Linked DNA regions of Macaca mulatta. The protein of the gene in region 4 purifies or fractionates together with the protein of the main gene of each other region. This does not show direct contact. Links are inferred from orthologs where the notes say so. Each region holds a gene or a part of one and is shown on either strand. Other genes may lie near its edges.

Region 1 (6,688 bases), on a different chromosome or scaffold from region 4:
AAAAAAATGTTCATTCATATCTAAAAAGTGTTTTTAGTTTTAGATCCTCTGAGCTGTTTTATATCACAATAACTCAGTGCAGATGTCACTATTTTGGTTCTTCTGAAAATGAAGGGGGAGGGGAGCAATCATGAGAGAAACACCACCACTCAGGAAAGATAATGTGGAGACGTTTAGTTTTGTGTTGCTAATTCTGGAGATCACTGGCATTCATGATACATGATACCAAGAAAAAAAATTATGTCAAGTTTTCTAAAAAGTTCAATAGAACAGTTTATTTTCTCCTTTTTTTTTTTTTTTTTCTTTTTGAGATGGAGTCTCCCTCTTGTCACCCAGGCTGAATGAAGTGCAATGGCACAATCTCGGCTCACTGCAACCTCTGCCTACTGGGTTCTCTAAGTGATTCTCCTGCCTCAGCCTGCCGAGTAGCTGTGATTATAGGCGCCCACCACCACTGCCTGGCTAATTTTTTTGTATTTTTAGTAGCAACAGGGTTTCACCATGTTGGCCAGTCTGGTCTCGAACTCCTGACCTCAGGTGATCCACCCACCTTGGCTTCCCAAAGCGCTGGGATTACAGGCCTGAGCCACCGCACCGCACCCAGCCCAGCCCAATTTTCTCCATTTTTATACACTTTTAGCTTTTTAAAAAATGATATAATAAAGCCCTACTACCGCCATCAGATTTCAATGGCTTCCTACTGTCAAATGCAAAAAAAAAACAAAAAACAAAAAACAAAAAACAGAGAAAAGCTTAACCATTTTTAATCTATAAAAGATAAGATTAGGTAAAATTACTAGCTTTCTTTAAAAAAAAAGAACTTAACAATTTGTAAATGTTTGTTTCTTTCGGCCATTTACAATAGACTGCTGGGGGGGATTTTTTGTTTTGTTTTGTTTTGAAACAGGGTCTTGCTCTGTTGTCCAGGCTGGAGTGCAGTGACACAATCATGGCTCACTGCTACCTCAACTTCCTTGACTCAAGCAATCCTCCCACCTCAGCCTCCCAAGTAGCTGGGACTACAGGCACACACCACCATGCCTCGCTAATTTTTGTAATTTTTGCAGAGACAAGATTTTGCTATGTTGCCCAGGCTTGTCTTGAACTCCTGGGCTCAAACAATCGCCCCACTTCGGCCTCCCAGAGCGCTGGGATTACAGGGATGGGCCATTGTGCCTGGCCCACCACTGGTCTTTTTAAGAAAGATATTCACACCATTGGAGAGGAGAATGCCCATTCCAACTATATATTAGGCTGTTAAAGTATCAAAGGTGGAATGATGGCTTGAGGGAAAATCATTAAAATGAAAAGGGCTAATGCTACTTTACAAACTAAAAAATAACAATTTAGATTGAGGTTCCTACATATATTTTTAAAAGGTAGGATATTCTAATGAAAAGTCATGAGCTTTGGAGACAGAGGACTGGAGATTTATATTATAGATATAAGCCTGAGCACGTTACTCAAGTTGCCTGAATTTCAATTTGCTTATCAGTAAAAGTCAATCATTTAACACATTTTATTAAGTACCAAGCAATATTCTAGGTATTGGACATACAACAGTGAATAAATCCTTGTCATGATGTTCCAAGCTCTGTGGTGAGAGGTACACAGCAATATACAGGGGGAAAAAAAACAACAAATTTTAAAATACAGTATGTCAAACGGTGATGCACATTATAGAGAAAAATAATGCAGGAATGTTTCAAAGCATGGTGAGGGAAGGTCGCAATGGAAAAGAACACTTGGACAAAGACACGAAGGAAATGAGGAATTAAGCCTGTAAACGTCAGCGTTCCTCAAAAAGAAACAGCATGAGCAAAGTCCCTGAGGTAGGACCTGCCTGGCTTTTTGAAGAATAAGAAAGCCAGTACAGTCGATGCAGAATCACAGAAGGGTAGTTGGAAAAACGAGGTCAAGAAAAGGTGGCTAGAGGCAGCTGGGTCAAGGTCCTGTGGGGCAACCAGGCTACTGTAATGGCTGTGGCTTTTCCTCTGAATAAGATTAGAAGCCACTAGAAAGTCTGGAACATCAAAGGTGTTTCACCCATGTATAAGAATAAACATTTACGGCCGGGCGCGGTGGCTCAAGCCTGTAATCCCAGCACTTTGGGAGGCCGAGACGGGCGGATCACGAGGTCAGGAGATCGAGACCATCCTGGCTAACACAATGAAACCCCGTCTCTACTAAAAATACAAAAAAATTAGCCGGGCAAGGTGGCGGGCGCCTGTAGTCCCAGCTACTCGGGAGGCTGAGGCAGGAGAATGGCGTAAACCCGGGAGGCGGAGCTTGCAGTGAGCCGAGATAGCGCCACTGCACTCCAGCCTGGGCGACAGAGCGAGACTCCGTCTCAAAAAAAAAAAAAAAAAAAAAGAATAAACATTTACCTCACAGAATTCTTTTAGAAGACCAAATGCAATATGGAAGGGTCTTAAAACTAGAAAATAATGTACAAATGTGAAACATTATTATATCCCTAACTTTGTATGCGTCATTTTTACATCCAACAACTTTGTCAAATTCTTCTTCGGCACTAAACAGTGGTAAATATTTCACAGGTTTTTTTCAAGGGAAGAAAAAACACTGGTTTTTCTAAGAGCAACTCTCTCCATTTTTATTATACTATATCTAAGAACATATGAAACTCAGTTTTTTGCTTTTAAATCAAACCATGAAACAAACATTTCAACATGAAATAGATGCACAATGTGAAAAACAATCTCGCCCTTATTCAAACAAGCAATGGCAGTCATGAAATGATACGTTCTTATGGAGCGTTTTCCTTTTAATTGCCAGAATGGAAATGTGAGGTTCTAGTGTTAGATAAGAGATTTTGTTATCTTGTTATCACAAGGACCAGCCAAACCAAATTTCATCCTAGTGAAATGTCTCAATTATTGGCATATGTAAAACATATACAGAGCAAATTTTCACTATGAAGTAAAAACAAATGAAGTATGTTGAAAATAGTAAAAATTATTGAACTAGGTAAATGTCTTACGACACTAAACAGCCCATCAAGTCACTGTTTAGAGACAATCACTGCTAACAGCCCTGTTAACTTGTGAGGAAAAACAGTATCCAACTGAAATAACACTGGAAAAGGAAACTCAGGTTATCTCCCCCAAGTTCTAGCCTCTCTTTTGGTCTGCTTCACTTTTTTGTCTTTTTTATTTTACTTCGTCTTTTCATAAAACGTGGGATTACCACTACCGCTATATGAAAATAATCCGTATTCCCATCACTAATTTCTACGCTAAACTCCAGTGCCACATTGCCAGTTGTTGACTGGATACTGCCAGCCACAAATAATCCCATTTAACTTTTACTGAGCCCAATAGTTGTAAGCACTCTAACTTTGTGTATAAACGCTCTCCATCTTAAACCACACTCTGAGGACGGTCCTATTATTATCCCCATCTTACACTAGAAAGTTAAATCAGTAGCTCAAAGTAACACATTGAGTAAGAAAAGGAACCAGCACTTGGACCCCAGGCATTTTTGCTCCAGAACCGATGCACTTAATCCCTGCTGCATCGCAACAGTGCTCCAGTTCTGTACCTAAATCCGATACAAAACAAAACTCATCGTCTACTCTCTCCTAGTTCTTACTGTCCTACTTCAAGTGGAAAGCAACGTAAATTTCAGTCACCTGGCCTCTCTTCCGCCTCCCACAGGCAGTCAGTCCCTGGGGTAGCCTGGCCTGCCTTCATGCCAAAATTTCACTGGGCAAAGGGCACAGGGATGGGGCCCGAGGAAAGGCCGCCTCCCGAAGGCGGGGGTGTGTCGGTGCGCTTTCCCCAGGTGCCCTCCCGGGGCTGGCATCCTCTCTGCTCTCCGAAAGCAACTTTCACCGTCCCATCCCGCCCTGCCGCGGGCCTGCGTTGCCCTCTTCCAGCAGCTCCGCACCTCCACCCACTCCACTCCACCCTCCCCAAACAGCCCACCCTAGTCTCCATATCCCTGTGCCCTCAACTACCAACTGCACCCTTTACCTGCTCCTCTGCTTCCGCCATGGCGCGACCGGAGAATCACATGACACACCCGGAAATGAGAGGAAACCAGACCCTGGGCCCGGGGCCTTCTGGGAAATGTAGTTTTAGCTTCATCTGAGCCTGGAAATCTCTTCTAGGGGACGGACCTCTTGGGGCTCATTTCTGCTGCCAATTCTCCAAACTCAATGGAGTTCTGCTTTGAAGAATCTGAACATAACCATTGCTAATACTATAGCTTATTTTATTGTTGTTCTTGTTTCTGTAGTTATTCTAGTGTTTATTAAGGACTTAACTATATCACGCCCTGGGTTTATAGCTTTGCATAAATTATCTCATTTAATCCTCACAGCAATTCCTACCATCATCACCATTTATAGGGGAGAATACCGTAGCTCAGAGGTCATGCAGCTATTAAGAAGCAGAACTAGTAACAATTCAGCCCTGTCTGATGCCAAAGTCTCTGTGATTGCCAAATGCTGCTTACTCTAAAAGTGTTCTTATCCTTTTTTCTCTCTCTCTCTTTTTTAAGTACATTCAGTGAATATAAAGCAGACTTTGCAGTGGAGAGCCAGAGAAAATTTATACACCAACAAATAATATTATTATTTTTGCTTGCTACTTTAAGTTGTCTTCTCCTGTCATATGAACATTGATTTTAAAAAAGAATCTCTATTGTTTAATAAATTAAATGTTAAACTTTTGTTGAGGATATTCAATAGGTAAATGTTCAAGTGGAGACACAATATGAAGTTGTCTTTGGTCCAAATCTGCACAACCACTGTATTCCAGCCTTCAGAATGAGTGATCCTCTCTCCATGTTTCTGAACATTATGAATTCTTCTTCTTAATCCTCAGGAATCTGCAGCACCTTATCCAAAGACAGACATTTAAAAATTTCCATTCACTGGAGTAGCTAGTGACCAGTAGAGGGCATCGCAAATGGCAGCATGTGGTGGTTGCCTCAGTACATTTTTGACTCCCTGTGCCTCATTGAGTCTGACCCAGTAGGAAGTCATGGACTCAGTACTCTGTCTGTAGCTTGCTCAACCCATGATTCCTCAGTTGCCCAGAAGCCAAGGTGACATCATCTCTGAGACACCTATCTTCTCCCCAGGGCCTAAACAGCCTTACCTCCATCTTCTTCCTCCAAGCCTTGCTGGGGTTCCTCTTCCAGTGGGCTAATCACTCAGCCAACAGGATAGACCACCCTGGGGCATTTAAATGTCTATAAGCAGCCAGGTGTAGTGGCTTTCACCTGTAATCCCAGCACTTTGGGAGGTCAAGGCAGTCAGATTTCATGAACTCAAGAGTTTGAGACCAACCTGGACAACATGGCAAAACCCTGTCTCTGCAAAAAATACCAAAAGTTAGTCGGGCATAATGGTGTGTGCCTGTAGTCCCGGCTACTCAGGAGACTGAGGTGGGGGTTAAGGCTGCAGTGAGCCTTGATGGTGCCACTCCAGCCTGGGCAATGAAGTGAGACCCTATCTGAAAAAAAAAGAAAAAGAAAAAAGAAATCCATAAGCAATCACCCAATGTCCTAAGTATAAACCTAGGGAAAGTATAAACCTAACCCAAGAGTTTCTGAAATATCTTACAAAGCAGTCCAGGGTCAAACATTGCTCATGGTGAACTTCAGATCCCAGAAAGACTTTAATACAGACCAAAGAGACTGTGGAAGCTCTCAGTCCAGTATCCATGGGAAAGAGAGATAAAATGAGATCTTCTACTTTTCTGATTTTCCTCACAAACTCCAATTTTCTCTTTCCCATTATGAGTGACAGGACTACAGCCTCTCCAACTTGGCAATCTCCTCTTCTATGGTGAACAGATGAGATTGGGATGAAGAAGGAAAACAGAGGATTATTGCCACTGTCTTACCCACAAGGGCATTTTTGTTTTATGGTTCCATTTTATTTCAGTGAGAAGTCAAGCCGCCCAAGCAAGCAAAGCTGAAGGCCATTCACTCTGGGCCTTCCTGGCCTTTCTACTTTTCCGGAATGAGAATGTTTATTCTCTTTCTCTTTCTCAAAAAGGGTGTTATGGGTCTTATTAAAGATATAGCCAAAGTTTACAGATTTTTCTCTGCTCATTTAACCATAGAAACTCTCAATTCCCCAAGCTTGTTCCGCATTCAGTATACTCTGTTGATTACAATAAAATATTATCAGCCTCTTTCCTTTTGGAGAGACTGGAAAAGGGAAGAGACACAGGTATGGAAAGCTGGATTAGAGGAAGAAACCTACTGTGAACTAGCAGGTTCATGATGGGCCAGTGGACAGGATGAAATTCACATGTGAACTCCAAACCCCATTTTCTCATGTGAAGTGAGAATTTGAGACTCTCTTATCTAGGTGGTCTTGTACTCTCCAACTACTCTAAGTGTAGTCCAAAGACTACCTAGGAGCTTGTTAAAAATGAAGAATTTGGGGCCCTTTGAGAGACTTGTTTAACCACAATCTAGATTTTAATAATATCCCTCAGTCATATGCATATACTTTAAAGTTTGAGGAGTACTCAGCCTGTCACTGAATCTGTGTCAAATCACCTGCTTTTTTTCTTGCACATAATCAATCCACCCTCTCCCAGCTTCAAGATATGGAGGTAAAGGGCTGGGCGCAGTGACTCACGCCTGTAATCCCAGCACTCTGGGAGGCCAAGGCAGGTGGATCCCCTGAGGTCAAGAGATTGAG
Region 2 (5,936 bases), on a different chromosome or scaffold from region 4:
TGTGTTGAAGCCCTAACCCTTCAGGTGGCTGTATTTGGAGTAAGGAAGGAATGAAGGTTAAATGAGGTTGCAGGGTGGGGTCCTGATCTGAGAGAATTCGTGTCCTTTCAAGAAGAGGTGACACCACAGACACCTTACTCATATGTCCTCTCTCTGTGCACACAGCAGAAAGGGCATGGGAGGACACAGTGAGAAGACAGCAGTCTGTGAGCCCAGAAGAGCGCCCTCACCAGAAACAAAATGTGCCAGCATCTTGCTCATGGACTTCCAGCCTTCAGAACTGTGAGAAAACAAAATGTCTGTTGTTGGACCCACCCATGTTGTGGGGTTTTGTTAACGCAGCCTGAGCAGACTAATGCAACAGTTGCAACAAAACTGCAATCAATGGGGAAAAAACAGTGGGCTTGAAGAAAAAAATTCCAATCAAAATCTCAACAGAGTTTTATTTGGGGTGTGGAAGGTAAGAGAGGAAAATCATGGAACTGAAACAAAATTATTAAAAAATAATGTGGCAGGCAGGGCAGGGTGGCTCATGCCTGTAATCCCAGCACTTTGGGAGGCTGAGGTGGGCGGATCACAACATGAGTTTGAGACCAGCCTGGCCAATATGGTGAAACCCTATCTCTACTAAAAAATACCAAAATTAGCCAAGCGTTGTGGCAGATGTCTGTAATCCCAGCTACTTGGGAGGCTGAGGCAGGAGATTCACTTGAACCCGGGAGGCGGAGGTTGCAGTGAGCTGAGATCACGCCATTGCATTCCAGCCTGGGCAACAGAGCAAGACTCTACCTCAAAAAAAAAAAAAAAAAAAGAATGTGGCAAGAGGAAACTTGCCTTATCAGGCAGTGAAATCAAGACAGTCCAGATAAGGGAACATGGCATAGACATCACCAGTACAGACTGGAGAGACCAGAAACAGATCCCAGCACATATGAGCATTTAGCACAGGCCACGGTCTATTCAGGGAGGGAAACGGCTTATGTAACATAGCCGAATGATTTCAAACAACTGGCTGAGCTCTCTGAGAGAAAAGGCAAGTCTCTCTTTCCTGCCATAAGCCAAAACAAATTCCAGCTGAATTAGAGAAAAATCTGATGTAGACACAGGAAACACAGAAACTTAAAATGACATACCCAAATAAAAAATTACTTTTTTCCTATGTTCAAAGGACTTAAAAATACCACAGAGTTGAAAAAGTCACTTGAGATGCAAGTAGAATTAACTTCAATTGACTAGCAGCTCATGAGAACTGAGAGAGGCCCAACCATGTGCTATGTGCTAGCTGTGTGCAGCAGAGAAAATCCAAATGGCTAAGCCCCAGGAAGAGGGACTCAGAGGGAACAGTAGCCACGATGGTGGCAATTTATACACCCAAAGATTGGCAATGTCAGCAGAGTGACAAGTGACACCTATTGCTTGCTGGCAAGGAGGTAGAACAAAGCAAGCCCACGCTGCTGAAATGTTATTCCCCTTGGGGAAAGCAACCTGGCACCCTAACTTATAATAAAACAGACCCTCCAATGTAACAATCTAACTCCTTAGGGGCTAGCTCTAAAAATAAAAGCATAAAGACAACAGGGACAGTAGTGATGGAAGAGAAAAACTCAGACGGTGATGCCAGGCAACAGGGAAACAGGTGGGAAACACTATCCTACACGATTTGGATTTCCATTCCCTTATATGAACATTAAGAAAAACACAACCGTTTATTATTTGTGGGTGAGGGTGGCCAAGTCTGCATCTTGGTCTTTTCCTTACCACTTGAGGGCTCTCCTGGCATTCTGGGTGGAACAATTTCCTCACTGAGTAGGTCTGTCCCTTTCATTCTGGAACACTTAGTGCAGACCCCACTCATGCCAGAATTTCCCTGGTCCTTGGAGCAACCATTCCAAACAACTCTCTGTCCTGCTGAAAGCCATTACCTTCATTCTGCCGGCTTCCTGGAGTCAGCAGAATCTGCCTTGCCCTTCACAGCCACTATGTGCTTCAAGTGCTCTATGCATCCCCCCAAACCTGTCACACCTCTGACCACCCCCAGACCCTGTCTGATGAGGCCTCGTGATCTGCCTTAATCACCACTGCCCCTAACAGAGTTGTACATCAAAACAGACTTTCGGCCGGGCACGGTGGCTCAAGCCTGTAATCCCAGCACTTTGGGAGGCCGAGACGGGCGGATCATGAGGTCAGGAGATCGAGACCATCCTGGCTAATACGGTGAAACCCCGTCTCTACTAAAAAATACAAAAAACTAGCCGGGCGAAGTGGCGGGTGCCTGTAGTCCCAGCTACTCGGGAGGCTGAGGCAGGAGAATGGCGTGAACCCGAGAGGAGGAGCTTGCAGTGAGCTGAGATCCGGCCACTGCACTCCAGCCTGGGTGACAGAGCAAGACTCCGTCTCAAACAAAACAAAACAAAACAAAACAAAACAAAACAAAACAAAAAAAAAAGACTTTCAACTCGCATGAGTGGTTGTATCTAATCACAGAAACAGTAAGTAAGAAATTCTAGGTATTGTATTCCTTGAATAGTTTTCCTACATTTTCTTCCTTGTTTACTTAACTGTTCCTAAGGAAAAAAGTTACCTGTCAGTATGTGAGAGCTGAAAAAGTTGGTCTCATTTAATCTTCATAATCACCCTGCAAAAGCAGGTATTCCCATTTTTCAGGTGAGGGGGTAGAAGTTCGGATATAATTTTATTTTTAATTTTTTTTTTTGAGAAAGAGTCTCACTCTGTCACCCAGGCTGGAGTACAGTGGTGCAATCTTGGCTCACTGCAACCTCTGCCGCCTGGGTTCAAGCAATTCTCCTGCCTCAGCCTCCTGAGTAGCTGGGATTACTGGCAACCCCCACCAGGCCTGGCTAATTTTCTTTTTATTTTTTAGTGGAGATGGGGTTTCACCATGTTGGCCAGGCTGGTCTCAAACTCCTGACCTCAAGTGATCGGCCCGCCTTGGCCTCCCAAACTGCTAGGATTATAGACGTGAGCCACCATGCCTGGCCATAATATATATATTTTTAAGCCCAAACTAGATATAATGATTGGTAGGCAGCAGAGCTGGGATTTGTATTCAAGTTAAGTTCCTTCTTAAATAGAGCAGCAATCTGATCAGGGGTCTCCCAGTGACCTGATCTCCTAATCGCAGCCAAGAAAATAAGAACAAGCCTAGTAAAAGAAGGGCAGTCTCAGTCTTCCCAGCCTCTACATCTTTTAGGTTATTTCCCCAAAGTGGGGTTTCTGGAAGCTTAAGCAGAGCATGTCCTAACCTTCCCAGATGAACACTTAGGGTATTCTGACTACATAGAAAAGAGTGGGTTAGGGAAGAAGATTAAGGGCAGGAGGTCAGGCAGGGACTGGGTCAGTGGTCAGGCATCACAAGAGTGGGCAGGTCAGCTGTGGGAGACCCACCTGCTTAAGTGCATTCCGTGCAATCGTCTGGAACGCCTGCTCCACGTTGATGGCCTCCTTGGCACTGGTCTCAAAGTAGGGAATGTTGTTTTTGCTGTAGCACCAGGCCTGTGCCCGCTTTGTGGCCACCTGAAAGGAGAAGTAGGGTGCACACAGGCTCATGATAGAAGCAGCTAGCACTGACTCCATCCTCCCCAGGAAGTGTCATGGTCCCTCGTCTACAGGTGGTACAGGTGAGGACACAGATGTGGGGAAAGAGGGTGTTGGAAGAGACCAGTAGACCCGTCCAAACTCGCCCTGCTGGCTATGCTCAGGATAGCTAGGATTCAGCTAGAGAGCTCAAAGCCTGTCTCAGTCTACAGCTCATACCTTCTGACCCTCAGTTATACTTAAAAGCCATTTGTGAATGGAGTAAGAAGCCAGTCTGGGAAGAAATGAAGAGTGTTTACTGGGACCTCAGAGATCCCAGGACAGGAAATGCCCAGCAGCTTGGTCTTAAGGTTTAGAGTCCCTTTACCATTACTGCTAGTGTGATGTCACCCATGCCACTCTCACATTCTCATTCCTTCCCCAACCCCTAGCCCATTTTCAGCCAAGAGATAAGGACTAAGTCACTTAGGAAGGGGAGGAAAAAAGATCCATGGTCAGAAATAAACGTAGTCGTAATTAATCAAAGAGTCTATGTTTCCAACAGAAATGATATTTGAAACTATAACTATAGTACAGCAATTTCACTCAAAGCCCAAAGCAATATTCTGCACACATGGAGATCCAAGCACGGCCTGGAGGTACTGGGAGGGCACTACTGAGAATGACAAAACTGAATTCCCTCCTTCAAAGTGCAGAAAGGGAACTGAAGTTGAGATAGCCAAGACAATGGCGTAAAGTCACAGCCAGCTGGGAGCAGGATGGGGACTTAACCCAGGTCACCTGGGTCCCAGTCCTTAAAGGCAGTTGGCCTGAAGGGCTGGCATAGGGTGATGAAGACTCCCACCAGCACCTCCTAGAGCCATGTGAGCTTAGCAGAGAACCCTCCAAATTCACAAGGCCCCTTGGGAGCAAGTGTCTGTGACAATATCTATCATCGTTGGTACTTACTTGTCTGTTTTCGAGGTCAATCTTGTTTCCCAACACAACAAAGGGGAAGTTTTCAGGATCTCGGGGACTGGCCTGGATGAGAAACTCATCTCTCCAGCTATCTAGGGTTTTGAATGTGTTGGGGGCAGTCACATCAAATACCAGAACACAGCAGTCTGCACCTCTGTAGAAGGCCACACCAAGAGACTGGAACCGTTCCTGTCCTGCTGTGTCCCATATCTGTGAGAGACAAAACATTTATTCCTCGGGAGAGTGCTAGGCAGAGCACAAGGAGCATGTATGCAGGGGATGCCAGAAGAAATGGGCTAGATTGTGAGGTCACCCACAAAGACAAATGACACCAGACTTCAGGAAGCAAATTTCAGCACCAGAGTATCCGAAACAATCCTCACAAATATTGTATGTAAGTATGTGTCTGTCTATAAGCAGGTGACACGAGTCCAATCTCCAGGGCGCTAGAAATTTCTTATATCTTGATCCAAGTAGTGGTCACATTTAGGTAAGTGTGTAAAATTTGAACTGTAAATAAAACTTAGGTACTCTGGGAACTTTCTGAGAGCAATGGAAATACAGGGAAGTGAGGTGATGACTCACAAATGATACAGTTCCATTTATGCATTTTACTGTATGAAAAGTTTGCCTAGCCAGGCACAGTGGCTAACCTGAGGTCAGGAGTTTGAGACCAGCCTGACCAACATGGAGAAACCCTGTCTCAACTAAAAATACAAAATTAGTCAGGCGTGGTGGTGCATGCCTGTAATCCCAGCTACTTGGGAGGCTGAGGCAGGAGAATCTCTCGAACCCAGGAGGCGAAGGTTGTGGTGAGCCGAGATCGTGCCACTACCCTCTAGCCTGAGGGACAAGAGCGAAACTCTGTCTCAAAAAAAGAGAGAAAAGTTAGCCTAAACAACAAAAAAGATTAGCATGTTATATTTCATTTGTATTATACCTCAATTAAAAAACAAATGAAAAACTCTTGACAGAAAGAGATCAAGAGAAAGACAATGAGAACACACACCAGATTAACTCCCAGGTACTACTGACCAGCTCTAAGCTGGTCACATCATTCACTGCCATGCTAGGTTTAAGAGCAAGGCTGGGTATATTTACTGCCCTAGATCCGTAACAGGCACTCAAACAGAGCCAGACAAACATGATAACTCAGATATAAGAATGAAGGGCAAAAAAGACAAATTTATCTCTCATGATTCCACTGCCTCTCAGCAGGTTAGGGCACTAAATGTTCCCTTCCCCAGATACAATAAACGAAGTCCACACATGTAGACTAAACAGGATCAGGGCTGCTGGTGGTACTCATTTATGTGCTCTCCTGGTTCTCCAATGTTCTACACTGAATATGTATGCATCTCTGTCAGTGGAGAAATGACCCCATTCTCAAACAAACAAACAAACAAACAAATATACGAACACTT
Region 3 (6,496 bases), on a different chromosome or scaffold from region 4:
ATTCTTTAGGATGGACTGTTCTGGTATCTGGTATTGGTTTAGAGCCTGTTTATAAGGGACATCACAAGGTGATGGGATTCATTTGAAGCACTCTATTTCTGTTTTAATGGTTTTATCCAATTTTGCCTTCCCAAGATTTTTGTTCTACATAAAAAGTTCATGCCACTTTTTAATATAAAAAAATTTAACAAAATTAATGTATTTTTCTCATTTTTTTCAAACTTTTTCTGAAGACCATTTCTCTCAAACTTATGAAACATTTCCTTCCATGGCTTTTATTCTAGATTATCTTGTTTTCTGTTAAAACCAATGACCACATGACCACAATCTTCACTAACTCATACTGCAGTGAAAGTGTTAACCCTTAGGTAGTTTCTCTACAACTCTTTGCTATGGTGATTTAAAAAAAAGTTTCCTGGGAAGTATCTCTGAGGAACTGCAGTCTGAAGAACTGACTATATTCTCATGCTAATTCATTAGCCAAAGGCTGGTGGTATTGTTGCATGCTGCTATTGCATATTAAAACTTAGCAGATGAATAATAGTTGTAATGCAGCAAGATAGTTGGTCAAATTATTTTTTTAGGCTGGTTTGATGTTGACTTGAGACTAGGAAAAAAAAACCCAAAAATCCCTTGTGTTAAGCAGGAGTGTATAGTACAAATTCTATAGCTTGGGCCTTGGTAATTCTGCTTACAGCTCTCTGTATTACTGGGAGTGGATATAGTGTGTCATTTCTTAGGACAGGTTCAGAAGAAATTTATAGCTTTACACTAATCTGTAAAACAATATAAACCTTAGGGTTTTGGGCCTGAACGAAAAGGTACTAGACCTTCCAGCACAACAGCTGGTAATTCTAAATTTTTAAGAAGGTGATCAGCTTCTATGGTGAAAATCAACTGTAACACAGGATTTGTTTAGCAATTTTTGTGTTTATGACTACTTGAAAGTGTACTTTCACTTGATTATCAGAACAGCATTTGTTAAGATGGGACAAGTATTCCTAGTTTACATATGAAGAAATTGATACTGTGTAAAAATAAAATGACCAGGACCAGTTTTTTTGGCTTCATATCATAGACTTAGTCTTTTTCTTTTACATTTTTGCTTTAAACCCAAATGCTTAATTTTTTGACCTATCTGATGTTTTCCTAGGGGGAAATTACCAGATATAGATCATTCTTGCAGCTCAAACTAAGTTTTGTTGTTTTTTAAGTCTTCAAGGGGAATACTAAGGTAACCTCAGACAGTACAGGTCCCGGGTCCTGTAGGAGGAAGAGCCATGACACCTTCCTAAAAGGAATATTAGGATGTAAGACACAACTTGGGAAAGTTGAATTGGTAGGAATATGATCATCAAATTAAAAGGAGGCTTATTTCACTCACTTTCAAGAGTTAGTGAATCATCTGTTGCCTAAACTCTTGCTACTCAAAATGTGATCCAGGGACGAGCAACATCTGGGAGATTTTTGATGCTCAATTGAGGGTCTTACTCTGGTCCTACTGAATCAAAAGAGGCATTTTAACACTGTCTCTAGGTGATTTGTATGCACATTAAATTTGAAAAGCATTGGCCTCAAATGGTTCTCAGGGTGATTTTGCCTTCCAGAGGATATACAGCAAAGAGACATTTTTATACCTCTGTAGGGAAGATACTGGCATCTGGTGGGTGGAGGTTAAGGATACTGTTAAACACCTTACATTGCACAGAACATGCCCCCTCCCCAACAAGAAATTATCCTGTCCTAAAGGTGGGTAGTGCTACCACTGAACAACCCTAGCCTAAGATGGTGGTTCTCAAGCTTTTAAATGCATGGACTCACCTTGGGGTTTATTAAAACATAGATTACTGTTCCTTCCAGAGTTTCAGATTCAGTAGAACTGGAATGGGCCTGAAACTTTGCATTTCTAACAAGTTCACAGGTGCTGCTGCTACTGCTGTTGTTGCTGGTCTAGAACAACCATGAAAGCATAAAGGTAAGGTGCTTGTACTAATTGGGATATAATGGTAATACTAAAGCTACCATTTATTGAGAGCTTAGTGTGTGTCAGGTGTTGCTAAGCGCTCACGATACTGGATCACAGGTATTTACACAAATCATTTTGCAGATCAGGAAAGTATGGCATCGAAATATTAAATTTTCTAAATCACAGCGAATTTCCTAATTGGTAGATCTCCGTCTGAGGTCTGACGCCAAAGGCCGAGTTTTTAACCATCACACCCATTGCCTAAAACAGTTCTAAGATTAACAGTTTGTTCCTTCTATGGTAAGCCCATGGCTACTCGGGACAGAGTGGCTCTGGGTAAAGAGTGACAATGGCAACTCAGCAACAAGTCAATTCCTTGAGAGTGCACCGGGAGGAAGGGGCGGGACTTCGGCTGCGGAAGGGGCGGGCCTAATCAGCAGGAAGTCCGGGGTTGACGATGGCTGTGTTGTTGAAGGGCCTGTAGCTGGGGGGCATCCTGGCCGGATCCCGGCCTACTCTTAGCCCAGCCTCGTTCCGGACCCCAACCCGGCCCGGAACACTGTGGGCGAGACGGCGGTGGCGACTCTCCCCTTGCCGCCATGCACGACGCTTTCGAGCCAGTGCCGATCCTAGAAAAGCTGCCTCTTCAAATCGACTGTCTCGCTGCCTGGGGTGAGCCGAGGGGCTGCGGGGCCGAGGCGGAGTCAGCACGGGAGCGGCCCGGATCTTTTCTGAGGCCGGGGAAGTGGACAGGCGTTCATCCGTGTGGGCTTCGGTTGGATGCTACCCGAGAGGGGCTTGGGATGAGAGAAAGCAGAGAGATGACCACCGGCTGTAGACATCGATGTCTATGGGGCTGCTTGGGTGATCCCAGTGATCCAGTCATTTAGGGGAGTTCCCCTTGCTCTTGCTCCCTGTGCAGAGTGAGAGGATGAGCTTTCCTTTTTAATTGTGCTCAGCTTTAGCCCGTTTTGATTCCCAAGAAGTCTTCATTTTAGAGGGCCAAAGCAGTAAGAAGTTCTTAGCCTGCCAGGGGCTTGAAGTTGTCCAGATGTTTGTGTTGTTTTCTAGATGAAAGTCAACCCTGGTTTTGGGGGCATAGAACAAGTTAACACCATATGCTATTTTTTCCCTATAGTGATCACTCGTTCACTTCTCATTCCTGTAGGGAACTCATGTAGTTAGCTAACCTTTGAGTCTAGCCAAGTGGTTGATTACCTTATATCCCAAGTGTCCAAGTTACCTAACTCTGTAGGCGGAAGAGTTTCCAGACTGTCATGAAACCTAATCCATAAAAACTAGCATAGTCCTTTTGGGATTGACTAGTGCAGAAGGCAGGGACAGACATCTCTTGTGTGCTCTGAAATACAAATGAAGGTTTCAGGGATAACGGTGAACATTGTGCTCTTATCTATGAGTGACTGGTTTGATACCAGCCCCCAAAGACCAAGGAGATCATTTCTAACTTTCCTCCTAATGTTTAGGTCCTAGAAATCAAGGACCATAAAAAGATGATTCAGATCCCTTAATCAGATCTTATACTGGGCTACATAGGTAACCATGATGGGCCTCATGGAATCTTGATGTGTCTGATATTATATGCATCAGCTGTTCACAGTGTCACCGAGTCATCCTTGCAGAGTTCTTCATGACTTCTTCTGTAGGGTCCTTTCACGAAGAATTTTCATGTTAATGTGCACCCTTCCTCCTTTAGCAGCTCTGGGTCTCTTTAAAATCACACCTCCACAGTAAGCAGTTCTAGTCCTTTGGGTTAAGAGGAGAATCCTATTTCCTCCAGACATCTCAAGAAAACCAATTTCTGTCATTAAATGCTCTCATTAAACATTTAAATAGAGGAGGAGAAAGTTTTTAAATGAAAGACGTGACGCTGCATGAAGGGATTAATTCCCCCATTGCTTCATCAGATATACGTATTAGGTGCCTACATGGGCCATTCTCTTTGCTAGGGACAGTAATACAATGATGAATAAGAAACGGTGCCTGTGCTCCTAGGACACACATTGGGGGGACAAAGACATGTGAACAGATTATGATACTAGAGACATATGCTGCCTATTATTGCAACATGGATGAGGGGGTACCCAACTCAGCTAAGGACATGTTTCTGAAAGGGATTAAGGATTAATGCAGCTGTTGCCACACTTGACTTAGCCCGTCAGAATCCTTGACTCCGATCTCCTGTTGGACCATTAGCACATAGTGCTCCTAGACTCTCAGTAACTCCACTTTGTCACAGTAAAAATTCCTTGCACCTGTGGTTTTCAGGAACACAGTTTTGAAATGATAGGTAGCTTTTGGCCTTCCTTGATCACCCACCAAACAGGAGAAATGCTCTTTGCTTCCTAAGGCGCTTTGGTACACATTAGGTTACAAGAGGCCATTAACTGCCTCCTGCTTCAAAAGTGCTTTATTTCCAGATTTGAGCAGCAGTAATTATTGCTGTTTCTAGTCATTACCCCTTTTTAACTACATTGTGTCTTTGGATGCAAAGTTCGTCCAGGAATTTCCAGAGGCAGGTCACACAGGGCCAAATAATATTTAAGGTGTAAATGTCTTAGAGACAACATACTCTGTCTCCTAGGAAATAGAAATCAGGGGGGCTGGGCGTGGTGGCGCATGCCTGTAATCCCAGCACTTTGGGAGGCCAAGGCAGGCGGATCACGAGGTCAGGAGATCGAGACCATCCTGGCTAACATGGTGAAACCCTGTCTCTACTAAAAATACAAAAAATTAGCTGGGCGTGGTGGCAGACGCCTGTAGTCCCAGCTACTTGGGAGGCTGAGGCAGGAGAATGGCGTGAACCCAGGAGGCGGAGCTTGCAGTGAGCTGAGATCACACCACTGCACTCCAGCCTGGGCAACAGAGCGAGACTCCGTCTCAAAAAAAAAAAGGGAAATCAGGGGAACATGATGAGGGTGATTTCTTTCTAAACTCCAAATATGTATAATCCTGCTGCCTTTTCAGCATCTTCATTTGGATGTCTCATAGCATAACCAAAACAGTTCTTGATTCCTCTCCCCTCAAACATGCCTGTCCTCCTGTATCTTACATCTCAGCAAGTGGCATTTCTATTTACCTCTTTGACTAAGGCCAAAAGCTTTGGAATCGTTCCTGACTTCTTTCATTCTCTTTTACACTATATCCCATCTATCAGCAAATCTTGTGTGTTCTACCCCTAGAATAAATCTGAAATCCAGTCATTTCTGTCTTGATAATTACTACTCTTGAAGGCACCATCATCTGTCACCTGAATTACTGTAGTAGTCTTCTCATTGACCACCCTGTATTTGCCATTGTGCCATTTTCAGTTTTTTATCTACCAGGTAGAGTGAAACTTTGAAAACCTAAATCTGATTCCATCCTCGGCTCAAAACCCTCCCATGGTATTACATCACAACTAGAATAAGTTCCAAAGTCTTTACCCTGTCTGGCAACATCTGACATGCGGAGGCCCTGGTAACTTCCCTGTTTCCTGTGCACTTACCTCTCACGCCTTTCTGGTACCAGTCCCACACAGCCTTCCTTGTTCCATCAGTGCACAAAGCACATACCCACCTCAGGGCCTTTACACTTGCTGCTTCCTCGGCCTGCCACTCACTTACCTTTGTATATATGGTTCATTCCTCATTTCACTCAGTTCTCTGCTGAAATGTCACCCAAATCAGCGGAACCTTCCCTACGTATCCTATATGAAAGAGATTGCCACATCCACCACTGTGCTGTTTTCTTAGCCTTATCTTCTAATCATGGGTCACCATCTACTGTTGTTTTATGTATTTAATTATTATCGCATCTCTCACTCCACATTAGAATATAAGTTCCCTCAGGGCAGGAGCTTTGTTTTCTACATTGCTGTATCCGGAGTACCTAAAACGTTTCCTGACTCATGTTGATATGAATAGTAATAGCTTGCAGTTGTTAAATGCTAATCTGTATTAGGCTTTTATAAAATAAGACTCCATTTTACAGAAGAAGGACCTGAGGCTTAGATAATTTAAGAAATTTTTCCAAGGTCACATGTCCTGTAAATCATGTCTGCTTCTAGAGCCTGGTTCCCAAACTTGAATGTATATTCAAAGCCTGTAAAAAAAAATGCAGACTTCATGTGTATATATGAGTATCTGTATGTCCATATATATGTACATACCTATATTTTCCAGAGAAACAATGGAAAGATAACTCAAAAATTACTAAAATGATGCTCATAGCAGAAGGGAGAGGAGAGGATAAGATGGACAATGATAGAAATTAGACTTTTCATCGTTTTAGCTTTGGAACTACAAAAATGTTTCATAAAAACAAATAATAAAATTTTATTTTATTTTATTTTATTGTTATTATTTTTTGAGACCGAGTCTCGCTATGTCGCCCAGGCTGGAGTCCAGCAGTACAATCTCAGCTCACTGCAACCTCCGCCTCCCAGGCGTGTACCTGTACAAGCCATTGTTGTGCCTCAGCCTCCTGAGTAGCTGGGATTACAGGCGCCTACCACCATGCCTGGCTATTTTT
Region 4 (5,175 bases):
TCCGTCTCAAAAACAAACACACAAAAAGACCATTCTGGCCCCAGCAGAGTGCAGTTGGTGAAGGGGACAGCCCTGGGTGGCAGCTGGTGTTAGTAATTAACTCCAGGGAGCTGGGCCTGGACCAAGTCAGCCAGAGGGAAGGTTGAGAGGAGGAGAGGGCTGAGGCATGGGCAGGTCTTGGATGTCAGGGAGTCAGGGAGGAGCTGTCCTGCACTAATGGCAGCTGCCTGGCTGGATTCTCTCCAGCAGACCTAGGACCTGACTCCAAGAGCCAGAGAAGCCCCTGAGAGTGTCCTCTCCAGCCTTGGGAGGAAGCCATCTCAGAAATGCCCCACACCCTGTCCACCCACCAGACCTCGGTGTCCTTCCCAACGGCCAGGGAGCGGTGGGCCGAGGAGGAGTCGGGGCTCAGGAGACAGGTGGCACCCAGGCCCCCATCCATGTCCCCCCAATCTTCCAGCCCTTGCCTGGCCTTCTCCTTCCCCATCACTTCATCGGTTCCAGGAGCTAAGATTTGACCTCTCCCCTCATTTTCCTGTCTCCTAGAGAGCCCTCCAGATTCCTGTGGTCTGTTTCCCAGCCTCACACCAGAGGACAAAGAGGGTTCTCCTCATTGTGTGGGTGAAGAAACTGAGGCCCCAAGTAGGCCTGGCTGTGCCCCAGTGCACGAGAATTTCTTTCCTGGAGGCCAGGAGGGGAAGTGGCCTCTCACCCCTGGGCCAGCACCCTCTCCCCTCTGGCCTTGACTGAGCACTGCGGAGAAGCCAGTTGCAAGTCCTTGCTGAGAGGGTGACGGGCCCAGGGCACAGGGGCTCCTAGAGCTTCCACGACTGTGGTCAGAGGACGGATGGCAAAGCTAATTCTCCATCCAGATCAGCCCACACTCCTGCTAGCTCAGGGCCAACCTGTGTCCCCCCAGCCTGCTGTGTCCCATGTTTTCTTGGTGACAAATGGCAGCTTCCCTTCCTAGAGTGCAGGAAGTTTACTGGGGATACCAGCTTGGTAAACTGAGGGGCCAGTTGGCATCTTGGCCTATATGGCTGCTTGGTGGGACTTACTGTCTCCACCCCGGTTTGGGCTCCCCTGGACCACAGCTGAGGCCACCAGCTGGGACAAGGCCAAGCCCCCATTCCAGATGCTCCACAGCTTGCACCCGGGAGGCCCAGACCCAGGGCTGGCACCACCCTGTCCCCAGATGTCTGGGGCATCCTGGGGCAGGTTCCCAAGCATCCTCTGACTTGGAGTAACCTCCCACCGCCAGTACCCACCCAAACACACACAGCCAGGCCAGGCAGGTTTTGTACCAGGGAACTTTCTGCAGGTGTTTCCTCTCCATCTCTCAGGATGGGGCCCCCTGGATCCCTCCCGTTGGTGTAGTGGAAACTAGAGCTGCATTGGCGGCTGAGCCTTTGTTCTCTGCTGCCCCGGCCACCTCTGAAATGGGATCTGCTGTACTTAGGACACGTCTCAGTTGCTCTCGTGTAGCACGGAAACCAGACACTTTAATGTCTGTCCCTCAGCCAAACCAGGGGCCAAACAGGAGGGCAGAGGCCATATCCTGTGCATTACTGTCCCCAGCACTGTCCCTGGTATGTAATGGTGGCAATAAGGACAACAACCTTCATCTCTAGGCATTTGCCAGGTAGACAGGGGTGCAGGCTCTGGAGCCAGGCCCCTATGTTCAAACTCCAGCTCTCCCGCCTACTAGCTGTGTGACCTCAGGCAAGTGATTTAACCTATTTCCTCTTCTCAGTTGGGATTGTGATAGTACCAGCCTCACAGGATTATTGTGAGAATCAAATGAATGAATGCGTATGAAGCTCTTAGCCCAGTTCCGGGTCCCAGGTGTCAGCACCCATCCTCCTCCTTATGATTAATTACGTGTTTACTGTGAGCTCGGCACCAAGTCAAATGCTTTAAATAAGTTACTTAATCCAGACAACTCCATTTCCCAGAGAGGGAAACCCAAGGTTCAGAGAGGTTGAGTAACTTGCCCAAGGTCCCACCAGCTAGTTACCTTGAAGACCAGGCCCCAAGCCCAGGCAGGCCGAATTACGCTCCTAGCCCCTGCCCCGCCCAGGCGGCAGGTGTCTGCCTGGTGAGCAGTGCCAGGGGAATGAAAACAAACAACACAGGTTGGCCCGGGTCTTGGAAACCTCTCTAAAGAATCGCTTGTGTTTTGTTTGAAGGCTCAACCACAGGGATTATCTCCTGGAGTCTCCGCATAGGTTCAGTGTTGCTGACCTCCAGCAGGTGAGTGTCATGCTTCCCCCGCCCAGACCTCCAGAGAGGCCTCTTTCCCGGAGAAGTCAGCAGGGAAGATGGGAGGGGGGGTGTCTGTAGTTTACTGAAGACAGCAGTCTGCAGCTTTTCTGCAGCTCAGGGTGGGTTGCCCTGCTGCCCTGGCTTCCTGGGCGGGGACGGATACCCACAGCACCCTGGAATAAGCAAGCACTCCAGCAACCCCAGGATCACAGGAAGAGAGTTTGGAATACTCCTTTCTCCAGGGGGCGGGTACAGTGGAGTCGGGTCTCATTTGTGAGTCCCATTAGCCCTGAGTGACCTCAGTGCCCACGGGCTGGACGCTGGCACTGCTCAGCCTGACTCAGCGAGGTTTTCTTTTCTTGCCCACGTGGAAACTGGGGGTAGAAGTTCTCCAGGCAGGGTGCCATGGCGCCTCAGTGCAGGTGCTTGAAAAGCCTGGGGCCTCAGTTTACCAGCCCCCCACAGATCGCAGACAGGGTGTATGAAGGATTCCTACTTGCCCTCCGCAGATTGCAGACGGGGTGTATGAAGGATTCCTCAAGGCCCTGATCGAATTCGCCTCCCAGCACGTCTACCACTGCGACCTGTGCACCCAGCGCGGCTTCATCTGCCAGATCTGCCGGCACCACGACATCATCTTCCCCTTTGAGTTTGACACCACAGTCAGGTATGTGGGACACCCAGCCAGCTGTCTCCCAGCCCCACCCTTCCCCACACCCACAGCCTGGCCCAAGCACTCAGGGCAGCAGGCCTCGTTCTATGGGCAGGAGCGTATTGAACATCGGCTTTGTGCCGTGCCAAGGGATGGTGCAGTTGTTTGGGACGGCCCATGCTCTGGGCAGTCATGGCCAGCTCCGGTCCAGCTCAGGAGACAAGACAAGCTTTCCCAGGACTCCTCTGCCTCTACAGAACCATCTGTCTTCCTAGAGGTGGCTGCCGGCTCTCTGAGTGGAGCCTGCTGGAGCCACAGTGTATGCATGGGTTGAGGAGGATTGTATGAGTTACTGCCCTGTACTGTTGGCATGAGACCAGGCACAAAGTGGGCACCTGGTGGGTGGTACCTGCCACTGCCACTGCCTCTGTTGCTGAAATGATCACTCTTGTTCCAGTTATTGCTCATTATCAGCAACCTCTCAATGGAAAAATTTGTCCAGACTTCCTGCAACCCATGTGGGAGTGGAAAACTGAACTGGGAACATTAGTTCTTTTTCTGTCGGTGTCCACTGGCCGGGATTCAGCCCTGAATGGGCCTGGGGCTGAGTTTTTTAAATTATACCATCTTGGCCGGGCGTGGTGGCTCACGCCTGTAATCCGAGCACTTTGGGAGGCTGAGGCAGGTGAATCCCTTGAGGTCAGGAGTTCGAGACCAGCCTGGCCAACATGATGAAACCTCGTCTCCACTAAAAACACAAAAATAAGCCAGGTGTGGTGGTGGGCACCTGTAATCCCAGCTACTTGGGAGGCTGAGGCAGGGGAATCACTTGAATCTGGGGGGCAGAGGTTGCAGTGAGCCAATTTCATGCCACTACACTCCAGCCTGGGCAACAGAGCAAGACTCTGAAAAATAAATAAAATAAGTAAATGTTTTTTAAATACAGGCAAGAAATCTTTAATGACTCTCAAGCAGCATTTATAAAAAAATGTAGTAGGACAGACAATATCAGTGTGCATTGTGTGACATATGGGTAAGCACTGTTTTGAGAATCTCCTGTTCCAGAATGGAGAGGTACAGTGTGCGTGCATGGGTTACACAGTACGTCACAGCCGTATCATGGGTTCTGGTCAAAAGCGCTGGCCAGCGTGGCCACAGGGCAACCTCCAGCCCAGCCAGCACCAGCAGGTGTGCTGCTCTCTCCCCAGGTGTGCCGAGTGCAAGACCGTCTTCCACCAGAGCTGCCAGGCTGTGGTGAAGAAGGGCTGCCCCCGCTGTGCCCGCCGGCGCAAATACCAGGAACAGAATGTTTTCGCCTGATGCCCATCTGCTGACCCCGCTCTGAAGGCCGGGGGTGAGTGTGGCTCAGCCATCCCAGCTGGGTTTGCCATCAGCCCAGGATACTCACCGTGTCACAGCTGTGTCCCCTTGTCAGGAAGACCCTCAGATGTGACCAGAGCACCGGCCTTCCAGAGAAAGCCCAGGAAGCCCCTGTGATGTCCCCTGGCCCCCTCACCACCCCTCTGCTGCAGGAGGCGTGGCCACCACCAGATGCTCCCTGTCTCCGGGCAGACAGGGCCTTTCACTCACCAGGCCCTGGCTCACCAGCGTCCCGGCACCCCTCTTAGGGCTGCCCAAACACTGTGGAAAGGAGGCTTGGGGAGCATTTTCAATTCCACATTCCTGATTAAAAGGTCTAGTTTTTTAAGGTGGGTTTTTCCCATTCATATTTCAACAGAAAGTATTTTTTTATTCTTGATCCTACGCGAGTCACCCAAGAAATCAAGACATTCTCACCCCCAGTGGGTGCACAGGAGCCACTCAGGCCTGGCCTAGAGGCAGCGGGTGGCTGGCGGGCAGGCCACTGCTGGGACAGGGCCTGTGGGCCCACCCAGTGCCTTTCCTTGGCCCTCACTGCCAGTGCCAAACCGCCCCTCAGCAGGGCAGGGCCAGTCCTGGTGACCCCGCTTCCTCTCCGTCTCTTTACTCCTCACCCCAGTGCGTCTCGCCTGCTGAGCACACCGCTTGTGCGTCAGAGCCCCTAGCTCTTCTCTAGCCGGGGGCCTTGGCCCCATTAGGAGAAGGAGAAATGACTGGAAACCAGCACTGTCAGCACTTTGAGCCCTCCTCGGTTTAGGGAGGGTCACCGTCTTGCCCACCCCCTATCCCCGTGCCCTCCTCACCCCTCTACAGATAGGGGCGCTGCTGCAGATGCTCCAGGCCCACCTTGGTGGGTGCCTGGGGTCACACTCTGCCTG
Region 5 (6,720 bases), on a different chromosome or scaffold from region 4:
TTTTATTAAAGAGATTTTTAAAAGTATACAGAATTTCTCTTTCATTACTAGTATTTACCGTGCCCATCAGAACTCCACTAATGGGCTGGGCACAGTGGCTCACGCCTGTAATACCAGCACTTTGGGAGGCCGAGGTTGGCCCATCACCTGAGGTCAGGAGTTCAAGACCAGCCTGGACAACATGGTGAAACCCCGTCTCTACTAAAAATACAAAAATTAGCCAGGTGTGGTGGTGCACATCTGTAATCCCAACTACTCAGGAGGCTGAGGCATGAGAATCGTCTGAACCCAGGAAGTGGAGGATGCAGTGAGCCGACGTCGCACCACTGCACTCCAGCCTGGGCATGAGCGTGAGACTCTGTCACAAACAAACAAACAAAAACAAAAAAAACTCCACTAATGAAAAAGGTGGGGAAAAACAATGTGTAGTTACTAATCAACAACCAAAACCACACCTCGCTGGGACCCAGAAAAGCAGCGGACCAACTAATTCTGCTAGCGGCTTGGGCAAGGGCAGCAAAGCTGCCTATCTGACTTGGTGCCGTTGGTGCCTTAACTCCTCCAGAAGCTGAGATGGAGCAGCAGAGAGGCAGAGAACACACGGATTTCCAACTGCTCCTCCCACCTCCTGCCCTCCACCACAGCCTGACAGTCTCCCGCAGGAGTAGCAGCAGCTGTGACTGCTGGGCTCCAAGATCAAGAGATACACCTGGAGAAGGCTGAGGCCACCAGAGAGGGGGCTGAAACAGTGTTTTCAGCTGAGAAAGGAGTGGCCACAGACTGCTAGAAAAGTACATGTGGCAGTTACCATGGAAACAAAGTGGCCAGATGCTGAAGAAGCACGAGTTGCCCCTCCTCATCGTGGGACCAGTTGGATGTTGGGCCCTTGATGGACAGGAGAGAAAATGGAAACCTCAATGGAGGCATCCACCACTGCTGTGTCTGGAGTTACCATGTGGGCTAAGAAACTGTCTTTGACCTCTTTCAAAGGCTGAATTCCAGAAGGCTGCTCCTCAATTATCACATTCTTCCATGTCAAAAGCCCCTGATAAGTATGGAACCTACAGAAATGTAGCTGATCGCATAGAGCATAAACTTTGTTTCTGGGCAGGAAGCTCCTCTAAACCTCTTGCTTTGTAAGAAGTAGAAGGAAGCAAACTTGCCTTAGTGATCAGTTGCGACAGCGACTGATGACCCTAAATATAATCTCCCATACTCTGCAGGAAAAAGAAATCTCAACTCAGTGATAAAATGATCTCTAGCTCCCAACACTTAACCACTGTCCTAGGCCTGATGCACCCTGAAGAAATACAGCACTGGGGATTAGGGGATGGACTTTCTCTTTTTATTTTCAGTTTCACCTCCTCAGTCTCAGCTTTCTTATTTTAACAGCCGGCCTCCTTTGTCTGGCAGAATGGATTATCTACCCCCACCATCCTTAATGTGTTTCCAGAGGCCTCTAATGAAGACCCTGAGCTTAGAAAACTCAAAACCAGTGCTTCTTTGACTCAGGTTGATTCTCTTCTATTCTTCTTTATTCAGCAGATTAGAGGCTGGGCATGGTGGCTCAGGCCTGTAATGCCAGCACTGTAGGAGGCTGAGGTGGGTGGATCACCTGAGGTCAGGAGTTTGAGACCAGCCAGGCCAACATGGTGAAACACCATCTCTACTAAAAATACAAAAATTAGCCAGGTGTGGTGGTGTGGTAGTGCATGCCTGTAGTCCCAGCTACTCAGGAGGCTGAGGCAGGAGAATCTCTTGAACCCAGGAGGCCGAGGTTGCAGTGAGGTGAGACCGCGCCACTGCACTCTAGTCTGGGTGACACAGCGAGACTCCGTCTCAAAGCAAAAAAAAAATGGAATACAAAAGAGAAGGAGAAAGCAGTAAACGGTAGCATAATTTAAGAAGCTGACCCCAGAATATATTCTGCATTCCATGTTTCTTCTATGGGGTTTAACTTCCTTTCAGCAACTTCTTCAAAGAGGCAGTTTATTCTGCAGTACACTCGTTAAGTCTCCTCTGAATACCCTAGAAAGGTTTTTCCATCAGAGCCTCTATCCAACTGGTTCCGTTCATTAGTTTAGTGGTGGCAATGACATATTCTGTACCTCCATCTTCCAACTGGGAGAGAAATCGCAGGGCAGCAATTTCAGCAAAGGTTACGCCCCCGAGGAAAAATATCAGAGTCACTCGGTTTTCTCCTGGTTGACCTAAAATTTAAACATTTCAGATTAAAAACTATTTATTACTGGTGCTCCTCTTCCCACCTCTTCAAACATTTTATCATTCACAAGAATAAACAAGTGTCTTCATCCAGACAGTTCATCTGAAACCCAGGAATACTGATTTTGATCTCAATGTTTTTTCTAACTCCTGAGATTCTCAACATAGAAGTTGAAAGCTGCTACCCCTCAGGGAATAATCCGACTCTAGTGCTTACTATATACATTAGCAACGAACAAAAGAGGTATATTTAATTCTGACTCCTAAGTGCTTTACTAAGTATTTTACAAAGCAACTGTACAATACCTGAAAACCACACTAACAGGACATAATTATCTGTAGATGCTGGACTGGGACTTACGTTTCTTCTGCAGTCCTGTGGGCAGTGGCTGTCGCTCCTCAAAGTGGGGCCCTGGGAGGATGCGGAGGACCTCCTCGATGCTCCGCCAGCCAGGTCGGGAAAGCAGCTGGGCCAGCCGCACACTGAGCGGGGCATACCCACTGTACACGTAGGATATGTCCGTGGGGTTCTGTGAGATAATTAAAGAACAAAAATCCTGTAGATACAGAGACTTAGAGCAACCTGACTGTGGCCTTTTGGGTAATCCAAAATTATTTGATTTGGATTTAAAGATAGATAAACAACCCCCACCCCTGCCATGCCCTGTTCTAATCCACCCCAGCAGAGCTCAATTTTAGCAGCCAGAGCTTCACTTTTGACTCAAATCTTGAAAAGCCACTCAAAGCAGCTCTAGGTACAGAAGATGAAAAATTACTTGGTTTGGCATGAAACTTCTTTTTTTTTTTTTTTTTTTTGAGACAGAGTCTGGCTCTGTTGCCCAGGCTGGAGTGCAGTGGTGTAATCTCGGCTCACTGCAACCTCCGCCTCCCAAGTTCAAGCAATTCTCCTGCCTCAGGCTCCCAAGGAGTTGGGATTACAGGTGTGCACCACCACTCCTGGCTCATTTTTGTATTTTTAGTAGAAATAGGGTTTCACCATGTTGGCCAGGCTGGTCTTGAACTCCCGACCTCAGGTGATCCACCTGCCTCGGCCTCCCAAAGTGTTGGGATTACGGGCCTGAGCCACTGCGTCCGGCCAGCATGAAATGTAGTGGGGGGAACTTGGCACTCCCCAGCTGAGCAATGATGTGCAGTAACCTTTGAACTCAGCAATCCTACTTTTAGGCATTAATCCTACAGAGATGCTTGCAGAACAAAAGATAATAGACCAAAGTATAAACATATTAACTGCAACACTGCATGTAATAGCAAAGACTGGAAACAACCTGAATTTCTATCAGTAGCAATCTGTTAAATCATTAAATAAGGTATAGCCTCAAAACCACTACGTAGCAATTTAGAAAAATTAAAAAGAAGGGGAAGATCACAAAAGACCCTTCAAGATCCTTTGTTAAGTGGTAGGTGGGTCAGGAGTCAGAAAGGTCAGAACAGTGAAGGCAGCTGAACTAATACGTACATGACAGACTCTAGACATTAAGGGCCTCTATTTTCCCACTGGGAAAAAACCATCCAATTTTGCTCCTGACAGAGGAGACTGTCTAGTTACGAGCTTTTGTTGCAAGAGGCAGCCTAATAAAGTCCCTTATGAAAAAACAAAAAAGACTGAAATTTAGAAACATTAGAATAAAAAATGTATAGCAAAGTGCACCCCACTTTGGAGACCAACAGTAGAGAATATGCACTCTTTATGTAAAAATGTATATGCGGCCGGGCGCGGTGGCTCAAGCCTGTAATCCCAGCACTTTGGGAGGCCGAGACGGGCGGATCACGAGGTCAGGAGTTCGAGACCATCCTGGCTAACACGGTGAAACCCCGTCTCTACTAAAAAATACAAAAAACTAGCCGGGCGAGGTGGTGGGCGCCTGTAGTCCCGGCTACTCGGGAGGCTGAGGCAGGAGAATGGCGTAAAAACCCGGGAGGCGGAGCTTGCAGTGAGCTGAGATCCGGCCACTGCACTCCACCCTGGGCGACATAGCGAGACTCCGTCTCAAAAAAAAAAAAAAAAATGTATATGCACAGAATCTTTCTGGAAGGATAGATAAAAAACTGGCCACCGTGACTGCCTCTGAGGGGAAACGGTGGAAGGAAACTCACTTGGCCCTGATGGCCCTGCTTTTGCATAGCTTTTTTTCTTTTTCTTTTTTTTTTTTTTTTTTGAGATAGAGTCTCATTCTGTTGCCCATGCTGGAGTGCAGCAGTGCAATCTCAGCTCACTGTAGCCTCAACCTCTCAGGCTTAAGGGATCCTGCCACCTCAGCCTCCTGAGTACAGTAGCTGGGACTATAGGTGCATGCTCCACCATGCCCTGATCACTTTTGTATTTTTTGGTAGAGACACGGTTTCATCATGTTGGCCAGGCTGGTCTTGAACTCCTGACCTCAAGTGATCCTCCTGCCTTGGCCTCCCAAAGTGCTGGGATTACAGGTGTGAGCCACCGCGCCCATCCATGGCTGGCTTGTTTATGAGAGCTGGACGTCTCCACTGGTTCCTCTAGACACTCTCCACCCTTCTCCGCAATGCCCTATGCCCAGAGATGGACCTGTAGGTCCCACACCAACACACTCCAATGCCTTCTCTTTGGGTCTGACCAGTGCAAAGCACCAGAGTGAACTGGAGAGTGGGCAGCAGTGTGAGGACGAGGTTGTCACTGGCTGGCTTCCTCTGCTGGAGGTTGACCGTACCCTCAGCCAGAGGCCCCTCACCCCTTACCTCAACAGATGGCCCCACCACAGCTCTTCTCTCCAGGTTCTAAGATAAGTTTCTAGAATACCCCCCTCTCCTTGCTCTTCAGGCCGCATCTGGCAAGGGCTCCCTACCACACTGCCTCTTACTGGTCTCTGCTCTTCCCACATCTTTATTTATTTAAGACAGAGTCTTACTCCCTAGCTAAGGCTGGAGTGCAGTGGCGCAAACATGGTTCACTGCAACTGCCTCCTGGGCTCAGTGATCCTCTAATCACGGCCTCTCCGACTAAAGGCTCATACCACCATTGGCCTTTTTTTTTTTTTTTTGCAGAGATAGGGTTTTGCCACGTTGCCCAGGCTGGTCTCGAACTCCTGGACTCGAGCGATCTGACACTTCAGCCTCCCAATACACTGGGATTACAGGCATGAGCCACTGAGCCTGCCCCATATCTTTTTGTTTTTGGAGAGAGAGTCTCGCTCTGTCGCCCAGGCTGGAGTGCAATGGTGCGATCTGAGCTCACTACAATCTCCGCCTCCTGGGTTCAAGCGATTCTCCTGCCTCAGCCCCCCAAGTAGCTGCGATTACAGGTGTGCACCACAATGCCGGGCTAATTTTTGTATTTTTAGTAGAGATGGGGTTTCCCATGTTGGTCAGGCTGTTCTCAAACTCCTGAGCTCAAGTGATCTGCCCGCTTTGGCCTCCCAAAGTGCTGGAATTATAGGTGTGAGCCACCGCGCCTGGCCCACATCTTTATTAAACTCTCCAGAAACTCCCCAATTTAAGAGCATTCTCTGTTTCCTTCTAGGGTTCTGATGGATACAATACATGATGCATTACTTTTTCAAAAACATTAGAAAATTGTTTTTAGAAAGCAAGGCAGATGTGTAGGTTCAGAAGCATGTGTTGTCATGTGGACGATCTAACCAGTCCCTAAGCTGAGACGAGGTGGAGAAGTGTGGCTTACTTGCTCGTTAACATCATCCATCCAGAGGCGTAATGTTTTCCGTATAGTTGGGTAATTGTTTCTGCCCCCCGTCTGCGGTTTCAGTAGGCCAGCCTTCTCCAGGTTGTGTAAGGTCAATATGTGCTCATAGCCATATGTCTGCAAGGGAAGTCATTTGGCCTTGATATAAGATCAGGAAAAGGATTTCTGCAATTTTCAAAGAAGGGCACTTCCAACAAATCAATTTGGTTTGTACCGTAGGACATGTTACCAAAGTCCAGCAATGTTAGTGGGTGGGCACAGAGGACAGGGTGGAGGGATGAAACGTGTCCTAAAACTGCTTGCCTGTTACTATAAATTCAGCTCACTGTTTCAAAGAGAAATTTAAACTTTTTTACTTTAAAGTCAGAATGTATGGACCCAATCTAAGTGAGCATCAAATAAATGATAGTATATTTTTATATGGTATATAATTAGCTCCAAAAAAGAATAAGGCATATCTACACATCCTGATAAGAAAGGTCTCCAGAATATATTAAAAAACAATAATATGCAATGTAGGATATTATTTCTATTTTTAAAAAATAGCCAAGGTCTGGGCATAGTGGCTCACACCTATAATCCCAGTAGTTTGGGAGGCCAAGGTGGGTGGATCACTTGGGGTCAGGAATTTGAGACCAGCCTGGCCAACATGGCGAAACCCTGTCTCTACTAAAAATATAAAAATTAGCTGGGCCTGGTAGCAGGTACCTGTAATCCCAGCTACTCAGGAGGCTGAGGCAGGAGAATCGCTTGAACCTAGGAGGTTACAGTGAGCCAAGATTGTGCCACTGCACTCCAGCCTGGGA

The links.
Region 1: the proteins of PLEKHM1 (region 4) and VPS41 purify together in Homo sapiens (affinity purification with western blotting; 4 studies listed by BioGRID and IntAct, with this or other methods). This does not show direct contact. The link is inferred for Macaca mulatta from reciprocal best matches to the Homo sapiens genes PLEKHM1 and VPS41.
Region 2: the proteins of PLEKHM1 (region 4) and RAB7A purify together in Homo sapiens (affinity purification with western blotting; 5 studies listed by BioGRID and IntAct, with this or other methods). This does not show direct contact. The link is inferred for Macaca mulatta from reciprocal best matches to the Homo sapiens genes PLEKHM1 and RAB7A.
Region 3: the proteins of PLEKHM1 (region 4) and VPS39 purify together in Homo sapiens (co-immunoprecipitation; 3 studies listed by BioGRID and IntAct, with this or other methods). This does not show direct contact. The link is inferred for Macaca mulatta from reciprocal best matches to the Homo sapiens genes PLEKHM1 and VPS39.
Region 5: the proteins of PLEKHM1 (region 4) and VPS33A purify together in Homo sapiens (affinity purification with western blotting; 3 studies listed by BioGRID and IntAct, with this or other methods). This does not show direct contact. The link is inferred for Macaca mulatta from reciprocal best matches to the Homo sapiens genes PLEKHM1 and VPS33A.

The regions. Positions count from the first base shown.
Region 1 is NC_133408.1:89,464,916-89,471,603, reverse strand, and holds the start of VPS41 (vacuolar protein sorting-associated protein 41 homolog), read right to left. Parts: upstream 4,034-6,688; 5' UTR 4,017-4,033; coding exon 3,996-4,016; intron 1-3,995. UniProt on the Homo sapiens protein: Plays a role in vesicle-mediated protein trafficking to lysosomal compartments including the endocytic membrane transport and autophagic pathways. Acts as a component of the HOPS endosomal tethering complex.
Region 2 is NC_133407.1:155,146,628-155,152,563, forward strand, and holds part of RAB7A (ras-related protein Rab-7a), read right to left. Parts: intron 4,723-5,936; coding exon 4,504-4,722; intron 3,535-4,503; coding exon 3,406-3,534; intron 1-3,405.
Region 3 is NC_133412.1:19,585,362-19,591,857, reverse strand, and holds the start of VPS39 (vam6/Vps39-like protein), read left to right. Parts: upstream 1-2,411; 5' UTR 2,412-2,565; coding exon 2,566-2,638; intron 2,639-6,496. UniProt on the Homo sapiens protein: Regulator of TGF-beta/activin signaling, inhibiting SMAD3- and activating SMAD2-dependent transcription.
Region 4 is NC_133421.1:69,811,036-69,816,210, reverse strand, and holds part of PLEKHM1 (pleckstrin homology domain-containing family M member 1), read left to right. Parts: intron 1-2,189; coding exon 2,190-2,253; intron 2,254-2,774; coding exon 2,775-2,932; intron 2,933-4,125; coding exon 4,126-4,237; 3' UTR 4,238-5,175. UniProt on the Homo sapiens protein: Acts as a multivalent adapter protein that regulates Rab7-dependent and HOPS complex-dependent fusion events in the endolysosomal system and couples autophagic and the endocytic trafficking pathways.
Region 5 is NC_133416.1:129,609,064-129,615,783, forward strand, and holds the end of VPS33A (vacuolar protein sorting-associated protein 33A), read right to left. Parts: intron 6,032-6,720; coding exon 5,894-6,031; intron 2,754-5,893; coding exon 2,585-2,753; intron 2,211-2,584; coding exon 2,029-2,210; 3' UTR 1,744-2,028; downstream 1-1,743.